2 linked regions of the Sus scrofa genome follow. The protein of the gene in region 1 binds, or shares a complex with, the protein of each later gene. Links are inferred from orthologs where the notes say so. Each region holds a gene or a part of one and is shown on either strand. Other genes may lie near its edges.

What was found.
Region 2: the proteins of C6H1orf109 (region 1) and CINP are in contact, whole or in part, in a cryo-EM structure (PDB 8RHN), measured with the Homo sapiens proteins. The link is inferred for Sus scrofa from reciprocal best matches to the Homo sapiens genes AIRIM and CINP. Residues at the interface, in NP_001289959.1 of Homo sapiens: Leu107, Gln110, Ala113, Ala114, Asn116, Leu117, Phe119, Val122, Ala124, Leu125, Phe128, Pro129, Asp130, Leu131, Arg134, Leu135, Lys138, Gln139, Ala142; in NP_116019.1 of Homo sapiens: Leu161, Leu162, Thr165, Glu169, Asp177, Leu178, Leu180, Ser181, Tyr182, Ser184, Met185, His188, Pro190, Tyr191, Val192, Glu193, Ser194.

What each region holds. Positions count from the first base shown.
Region 1 is NC_010448.4:93,747,738-93,752,189, reverse strand, and holds the start of C6H1orf109 (uncharacterized protein C1orf109 homolog), read left to right. Parts: upstream 1-1,593; 5' UTR 1,594-1,893; intron 1,894-2,068; 5' UTR 2,069-2,071; coding exon 2,072-2,346; intron 2,347-4,452. Other genes in the region: CDCA8 (borealin), read right to left, coding at 805-933, 1,072-1,168. UniProt on the Homo sapiens protein: Part of the 55LCC heterohexameric ATPase complex which is chromatin-associated and promotes replisome proteostasis to maintain replication fork progression and genome stability.
Region 2 is NW_018084979.1:1,150,352-1,154,614, reverse strand, and holds the start of CINP (cyclin-dependent kinase 2-interacting protein), read left to right. Parts: upstream 1-1,417; 5' UTR 1,418-1,498; coding exon 1,499-1,505; intron 1,506-4,263. UniProt on the Homo sapiens protein: Component of the DNA replication complex, which interacts with two kinases, CDK2 and CDC7, thereby providing a functional and physical link between CDK2 and CDC7 during firing of the origins of replication.

The sequences.
Region 1 (4,452 bases):
CTTGCACTTCACCATTTGATTTGCCCATTTGATTTATTCATTTATTTTGTTGCCTCTTTTAGGGCTGCACCCATGGCATATGGAAGTTCCCAGGCTAGAAATCGATTTGGAGCTGCAGCTGCTGGCCTACGCCACAGCCATAGCCATGCAGGATCTGAGTCCTGTCTTCAACCTACACCACAGCTCATGGCAACACCAATCCTTAACCCACTGAGTGGGGCCAGGGATCCAAACTGCATCCTCATGGATACTAGTCAGATTCGTTACCACTGAGCCACAGTGGGAACTCCCTGATCTGCCCATTTTAAAACTGGCAATTTCCATAAGCAGAAGGACCTGCTTGGGGTTATCCTTCCACCTGAGCTCTGGTAACAGACCAAGTTATTCATTTGTTTGTTTTTAAATGGTTGGATCAAAAAAAAAAAATCTTATAATGTGAATCCACATTTTAGTATGTCCATAAATACATGTTTATTGGAATACAGCTGTGCCCATTCATTACAGCTGTTTCGGAACTATCACAGCAGAGATGAGTAGTTTTCAATGAGAACCATTTGGCCCATAAAGCCTAAAATATTTACTACCCGATTCTGTAGAGAAAATGTTTGTTTGCCTACCTGCACAAGTAGATGAGGTTAAAAGCAAAGGAGAAAAATAAAGCAAGGCAGTGAGACAGAGTGGGGATGGGTAAGGTTGCAGTTTCCTACAGGGATCTTGGACGACTTCAGGATGAAGATGAAGGCTGTCATTGGAACCACAGAAGGGCTCCAGGTCGAGGCCTGGGGAAACTCTAGCAGCTCTTACCGAAGTACTCGAGCCAGTTCATCTCGCGCAGTGCCTTGGGGAGTCGCAGGATCTCGATGTTGTACAGGTTATCCATCTCCTTGAGGAGGTTCTGCCTGTCTGACTGAATTTGCTTGGATCGTATTTGCACTGCAAGAGGGCAGAGCGGACAAGACGTGGGTCACCAGTGGGCAAACGGGGCCTGGAATCCGTGCGGCCTGCGCCCCAACCCGCCAGCACCCCGCGATTGTCCCAGATGCCAGCGACCTCCCGGGCTCCGCCCCTTACCTTCACGGTCGAAGTCTTTAAGAAAGGAAGCGAGCTTTCGGCTCCGTAGCGAGTTGTTCTTGGCCACCCGACTGCCGCCTTTCCTAGCCGGAGCCATGGCACTTCGCTGGAGACTGCGGGGAGAGAGGGGCCAAGCCAAAGGGTGTCAGCGGCGGAGAAAGGGAGGGAAAGGGGGCCGCGAAGGAGCAGGAGAGGGCGGAGGACACCCCAGGGGGGTTGGAAGGGGACCCCTGCCCTTCCCGGCATGAGCATAAACGATTCGCGAGGCACTCACCTGTGGGCCCCGGTAATAGGGGCTGAGAAAACCCTGGCTGCTTCAGCTGAGAGGGAGCGGCTCCGGGACTAACCGGACGTGCGACCGCCGCCACCAAATTCAAACTGCCACAAGCTGACCAATGAGAAGCCGCCGTCTTAGAGGGTCCCACAACAGCCAATCGCAGGGACGCTCTGCGATCGGCCAGTCAATTCACACGCAGGACTACAGCACCCAGAAGTCATTGCAGTTTGACGGCATATTTTCGCGACTCTGTAGCCACGTTGGGGCATGCGCAAAGAGAGTCCCTAAGGCTCTTGAGGGCCTAGAGAGGTCCTCAGACTTTAACTGCCTTAGCTTTAACTTTTGCCGCTGGTTTAGGGAAGGCGAGCCGTAACTTCATGGAGAGGAGACAAGGTTCGGGTTCAGGAAACTCGAGACGGCCCGGGAAACCCACAGTCTGAAACAGAAAACTACCCGAAGCCGGATGAGCCTCCTGCGAGGAATAGTCAAGAAATCTTTCCCGAGGTGGGAAATAAGGGTCCTGCCTTCCGAGAGCCTGTGTAAAGGTAAGACAACCCCTCACTCTAGAAACTCCCGTCGGGAGGGATAGACAGCTACCTGAGGAAACCCTGGGTTAGCTGGACCTCACTTGAGAACGGAAATAACTCCTACCGACTTGGTACTTCCCCTACCGACTTGGGACTCTAGGGCTGTGTCTTTTTTTTTTTTTTCCTCCCACAGAAGATGACTCAAGTTGGGCCTTTGCTTGCCGTGCAGGAGGCCCTAAGGAAGTGCTTTCTCGTGGTGGAGGAGCAGCAAGGCCTGTGGCAGAGCGTTCTTAAGGACTGCCCGCCGCTCCTGGCCTCCCTCAGTAACCTGGCAGAGCAGCTGCAGGCCGCACAAAATCTGCGATTTGAAGATGTGCCGGCACTTCGGGCCTTCCCAGACTTACAGGAGCGGCTGAGACGCAAGCAGCTGGCGGCTGGTGACATTGTCCTGGACAAGCTAGAGGAGAGGCTGTAAGAGGTTTAGTGGCTCTGTTCTTGGTGGAAAGATTTTAAAGCTAGGTGTTTAGAAAACTAGGATCAGTTAGAAGGATGTTTTTCTCCTTACTTGAGAGCTTTGTATTTGGGGATGTGTCAACCTTACGTGCTTTTCATCTGTTGCAATGGGACCTCTGTCAAAAAGCCACTTTCTGACATTTCTTTTGTCAGGCTAGGGGTGGCAATGGTGGACTTCGTAAAAGTTACCAAAGCAGAACAGAAAAACAGTGGAGAAAGCTTATTAGCCCTCCTCTGTAAGTTTTTCTTTGGTAAAAAGCAGCAAAGAGCTGTACTATAAACTTAGTGGGTGCCAGAGCTGAGGGTTTTACGTCCATTATCCGTAAAATCTTTTCTGCACCTCTATGACTTAACCTCACTTAATCTCATTTTTCCGGTGAGGCAGCTGAGGCCCAAGCAGATTGCCTGTGGTCCTGCAATTAGTAAATGGTAAAGCTGGGATTCTCATCCAAGTGTATCTGACACCAAGGCCGGAGCTCTTAACCACTACTTTGTTCTGCTGTACATTGGTGTGTCTGTGCCAGGAGTGGTACCCCTCTAAGCTCTCGTTATGCCTAGTGTTAGACTCTCTGGCTTCGAGTTATAGGTAATTGAGGATAGAGGAGAGACAGGGAACTTATGGCCTTTCCTTGACCAGGACAAAAGAAGGTTCTAGTGTATAGAGTCTGTGCTGTTAACTAATAGGAGACTGTCAAAGATGAGTGCCTTCTTGGTATTCATTTGTTTAAAAAAAATTTTATTAACAGCCTATAGGAGAGTTCCTGTTGTGACTCAGTGGATTAAGGACCCAGTGTTGTCTCTGTGAGGATGTGAGTTCAATCCCTGGCCTCACTCGGGGGGTTAAGGATCCAGCATTGCTGTAAGATGCAGTGTCGGTCACAGATGCAGCTGGTGTTGCCATGGCTTTGGCATAGGCCTCAGCTGCAGCTTTGATTTGACCTCCGGCCCAGGAACTTCCACATGCCACAGGTGCGGCTGTAAAGAGAGAGAAAAAAAAAAAAAAAAAGTAAAGAAAAGAAACCTATGGGGAGTTCCCGTCGTGGCGCAGTGGTTAATGAATCCGACTAGGAACCATGGGGTTGCGGGTTCAGTCCCTGCCCTTGCTCAGTGGGTTAATGATCCGGCGTTGCCGTGAGCTGTGGTATAGGTTGCAGACGGCTCGGATCCGGCGTTGCTGTGGCTCTGGCGTAGGCTGGTGGCTACGGCTCCGATTAGACCCCTAGCCTGGGAATCTCCATATGCCGCGGAAGTGGCCCAAGAAATAGAAAAAAAAAAAAAAAAAGAAAGAAACCTATGGGATGCCAAGCACAGGGTGCTGGGTCTACAATAAACCAGACTTAAGTTCTTTGGTTGATTAAAAGAGATAGACAGTCAATTAAGTTTTGTCATGGTACATTCTAATATAGTGACCTTTTATTTCAATTGATTACATATTTGTATGTGGGTATGGACTGTTATTTTAAATCTTTTTTTTTTTTTTTTTTTTTTTGACCGCACCCACGGCATGAAAAAGTTCCTGGGCCAGGGATCAAACTCAAGCCATAGCAGTAACCAGAGCCACAGCAGAGACATCACTGAACCACCAGGAAACCCCTATTTTAAGTGTTTTTAAGTCGTGAGTCACAGTCAAACATTTTTGAAAGCTGCAGTTCTAGGCTAGGGAATGCCTTGCCCTTTGGGAAGTTGTAGCTTTCTTCTTGGTGGCTGGGCCCCTTGGAGTCACCAGTGGAATAATAACAAAATTTACTATAAGCCAGGCACTTCCCTAAGCACTTACATTACTGCATTTAATCTTCGCAGCAGTCTTTTTCATTCATTCATAGGACAAGTGTTTGTCGTTCTCTGTGCCAGTCCGGATATTCTAGGCGCTTATGATGAATAGTGAACAAAAGAGACTGTATTCATGATTGAGAATAAGTAGCTTTTCTAAGATCCCCAGTTGTCTGTGTGCATCAAGAGCCCAGACTTGGCCCATTTGCTGGGTTTGGGGTGAGAGGTGACATTAGAACTGTACTGGTTTGTTGCTTCAGTTTCTTCTTGGTTATTCCCTTTCAAGTACATGGC
Region 2 (4,263 bases), on another chromosome or scaffold:
TACTGTGGCTGGCATACAGTGGACCCCACAGAACCACCTGCTGAATGGACTATGTAAAAAAAAAAAAAAAAAAAAAAAAAAGCCAGTTTCAGAGGCCATCAAAGTACACTGTAGATGGATGAGAAAAAGTACAAAAAAATGCTGCAGCTTAGGAGACCAGGAGTCACGAGTGACCACAAGGGCTGCAGTGATTTTATTCCCAGATTCGGCCCATGCTGGGATGTGGGCTTGGGAATTTCCAGAGCTCCTTTCCTTAAAGTTTCCAAGACCTTGGCTACAAGGTGGAAGTCAATTCCCAGTGCAACTCATCACGCCAGCAGACAGGTGTGTGCCCAGGTTAGCAGCCCACACTCTCTCTGCCAAACAAATGTTAACAGAAGCAAGAGAACAGAATGAAATTCCTGAGTCGCGACGAAAAAGTGAGGAAGAACGGGGAGCAGGGAGGAGAAATGCAAGTACAGTACGTGGGCGGCGTTCACTGAAATGTACCGCGCGTGCCAGGCGCCGTGCCGAGCAACTCCCAAGCACCGACCCATTTCATCCTCCCACCAAGCCAGAGCGAGAAACTATTACCAGCCCCATTTCGCTGATGATGCAAGAGAAGTTTAGGGAGACATCACTTACCCCGAGCGCACAGCTAGGACGGGGCAGCGCTGTGACCCGGGTCTGACTCCAGGGTACCCCACTCTTTAACCTGCACTAACTATTCTGCCTGAGGCCTTAAAGCAGGACTGAGAGAGGAGTCGTCCGTTCACCCACTTGACCAACAGCTCCTGAGCACCTCTGTGCTATGGGTATGTGCCAAGGCCTGGCCGGACGCGGGAGGGGTGCGGATGAAGGGACGCGGGCTGAGGGTCGGGGGACAGGCGCCACGTCAGTCCCAAGACCGCGGAGCTCGGGGCCTCGGGGCAGAAGGGAGACCAGGGTGCGGCAGAGGGAAGGGACGGCGGAGAGGGAGGAGCGAGTGCAGCCGGGGCGCGCGGGGCGGAGGGCTGGCGGGAGGTGTCGGCGGGCCGGGGCGCCCCGGAGGGATGGGCGACCACCGCTCCCCTGGGCAGACCTCCGCTTCTGCCAGGCAGCCAGCCCGGCGCTTCGTGTGCCAGGGCATTCGGCCACCGGGCGCGGGCGAGACGGGGACCGGGAAAGGGGGCAGTGCGACCCTGAGGTGCTACAGGGGCGACCGGGAGGCCGAGGGGGGGGCGCGGGGCTGGGCGGCGGGGTCAGGCGGCGTCGCGGGACTCACCTCCCGCGGCGGCCCCTCCGGACTCGTCGGCCCAGCCGGGCCGGAGGAGGCGGGGATGGACTCCGGGCCGCGGGGACTGCCGGGAGCCCGTTTCCAGGGCAACGGGGCCCGCACCGTCGAGCGGCAGGCGGCTCCGCCGCTGGCTAGAGCGGCAGAGGAGCAGGAGGTGGCAGACGGGGTGGAAGTGGCGTCGGGAACTTCCGGCGGACGTGGGCGGGGCTCGGAGGTCTCTTTCCTGGGATCCCTGCGGATGGCATGGAAGGTGCGTGAGAAGGGCCAGTTTCCCCAGGCGGGCAGGGCGTGAGTGTTTTGGTTGGAGCTTAGTCGGTACTCCGACGGAATTCACAGTCTAGTGAGGAAGATGCTAGACATTAAACAAAAAGATACGCTGCACTGATGAGTGTTGTGATGCCAAGTTAAGTACAGGGTATTCCAGGTATTTCGTGCAAGGAGTCCTAACCCAACCTGGGAATCCAGAAAGACTTCTGGTGGAAGTGACTTTCTAAAAACCGACATTAGATCACGTCATTTCCCTGCTCAAGGCTTGCTGCTGGCTTTCCATGACTTGGAATAAACCCAGACTTCTTTTCTTGGCCTGTAAGGGTCTAGCTGCCTGGCTGCCTGCTCACCTACTATTTCCCCTCTCTCCCTCTCATTCTAACCGCCCTGGTCCTTTTCTTTTTTTACACACACTAAGCTCATTCTCACATTACGCCCAAGCTGTTGACTTCTCATCATTCAGATTGCAGCCTAAATGACAGTCTCTCGGGGGTTCACCCTAACACAGGACCCTGTTTTATTCTGTGGGGTTTATGGTCTAAACTGATGCTGACCATCTAGTTGTTATCCATCTCCTCTCTGGAAAGTAAGTTCTGTGAAAATGGCCCTGGTCTACCAAGTTCAGTCGCTTCATTCCCCATGCCTGGCATGATGTAGGCACTCAGCAAAAGCTGGGTTAGTTGTATAAATAAGGAGTGAATGAGTAACTGTAGATACTGGATATAGAGCTTCCAGGCTGTCTCCAAGTGCTGATCTCCCTGAATCCCCACCTGTTCACCAAGCTGGCAGCTCCCAGAACTCTTTGCTCTTGGGTTTTGATGGAGGCTTCATTCCATAAAGAGGGTCGATTAAATTATTTACCACTTACGACTGATCCAACCTCCAGTCTCTCTTCCCTTATTGGAAATGGGGGTCGGGGGTGGGGGGACTGAAAATTCCAACCCTCTTAATATCAATATGATGTTTAAAAGGGGAACCTAGATAAGGATGGGGGCTGGTTGTCAGGGGAACCAATCATGTGATTAGAGAGCGCTGTACCCCTTCCTGCATATCTTGCCCTAAGCACTTCTCTGTCTGGCCCTAGTAATCTAATAGGTAAAATATTTTCCTGAGTTCTCTGTGAGCCACTCTAGCAAATTAATCAAACCTTGTGGAGGGGCTATCTTTGGAACCTCCGATCTATCAGAGATTTCTAGTAGGTCAGAAGCACAGACCTAGATCTGGCCGCTGACATGGAGAGAGAGGGTAAGAGTCTGGTAGGACTGAGCAATTAGCTTGTGGGATGCCATCTCCAGGTAGCTGGTGTCAGAATTGAGTTTATTGCTTGGTGGTGGTGGAAAAACCACACTGGAGAGGCCCTTGTGATAACACATGCTGTGTTGGGTACTTGCTGCACGTCAGACCCTCACAGCTTAAATATATTATTTAATCATTGCAACAGCTCTATGTAGTAGATCTGTTTTACCCCCACTTTACAGATGGGTACTTTGAGGCTCTGAGGGGTTAACTAACTTACCCAAAATTGCACAGCTGGCTGTGACAGAGCAAGTATTTAAACCCAGTCTGTATGGTCTTCAGAGTCTAGACTCCAAACTATATAAACTGTATCGCCATTGTGTGTCCTGGATTCCGTAAGTGGCCTCTCTCAGAATCTGGACCTTATCCTGTGGGCCATGAAATACTTTTGAAGGATTCCAAGTGGAGAGGATTCGAGGCAAAGGAGGGCCCGGGTGTGGGAGGTGCCCAAACAGCCTGAGTTGGCTTATTGTGGTCTGGGGGTTGCTTCCCGCAGGAGCTGGGACCTGGGTGAGTCCTGGGGTTTGGGCAGCCTTAGCCAGAGGAAGGAAGAAGCTTTCTAGCAGAGAGAACTACATGTGCAAGAGCCAGTGGGTGGGTGATTCAACTTCAGAGTTGCCAGTAGGAGTTCCCATCGTGGCGCAGTGGAAACAAATCCAACTAGGAACCATGAGGTTGCGGGTTCAATCCCTGGCCTCGATCATTGGGTTAAGGATCTGGCCTTGCCATAAGCTGTGGTGTAGGTTGCAGGTTCAATCCCTGGCCTCGATCATTGGGTTAAGGATCTGGCCTTGCCATAAGCTGTGGTATAGGTTGCAGACTCGGCTTGGTTCTGATGTTGCTGTGGCTGTAATGTAGGCTAGCAGCTGTAGCTCCAGTTGGACCCCCTAGCCTGGAAACCTCCATGTGCTACAGGTGCAGCCCTAAAAAGCAAAAAAAAAAAAAAAAAAGAGTTGCCAGTAGTTGCTCTTAGCTAGAGATTGCGGGGGTTCAGGGTGGGGGTTAAGATGGGCGCTGAAGCCGAGAGGGAGCCAGGTCCTGAGTTTTTGTTTTTTTTTTTTTTTTGTCTTTTTGCTATTTCTTTGGGCCGCTCCCGTGGCGTATGGAGGTTCCGAGGCTAGGGGTCGAATTGGAGCTGTAGCCACCAGCCTACGCCAGAGCCACAGCAACTCAGGATCCGAGCCGCGTCTGCAATCTACACCACAGCTCACAGCAACGCCCTATCGTTAACCCACTGAGCAAGGGCAGGGACCGAACCCGCAACCTCATGGTTCCTAGTCGGATTCGTGAACCACTGCGCCACGACGGGAACTCCAGGTCCTGAGTTCTAAGCACGGAGATCATCACTGCATCTCAGGTCCGGCCCGGTCAGTATGTTGGAATGTCGAGCGCTGATAGCCACAGAGCTCCGAGCAAGCCTAAGGTATCAAAATGCCTGAGACTGG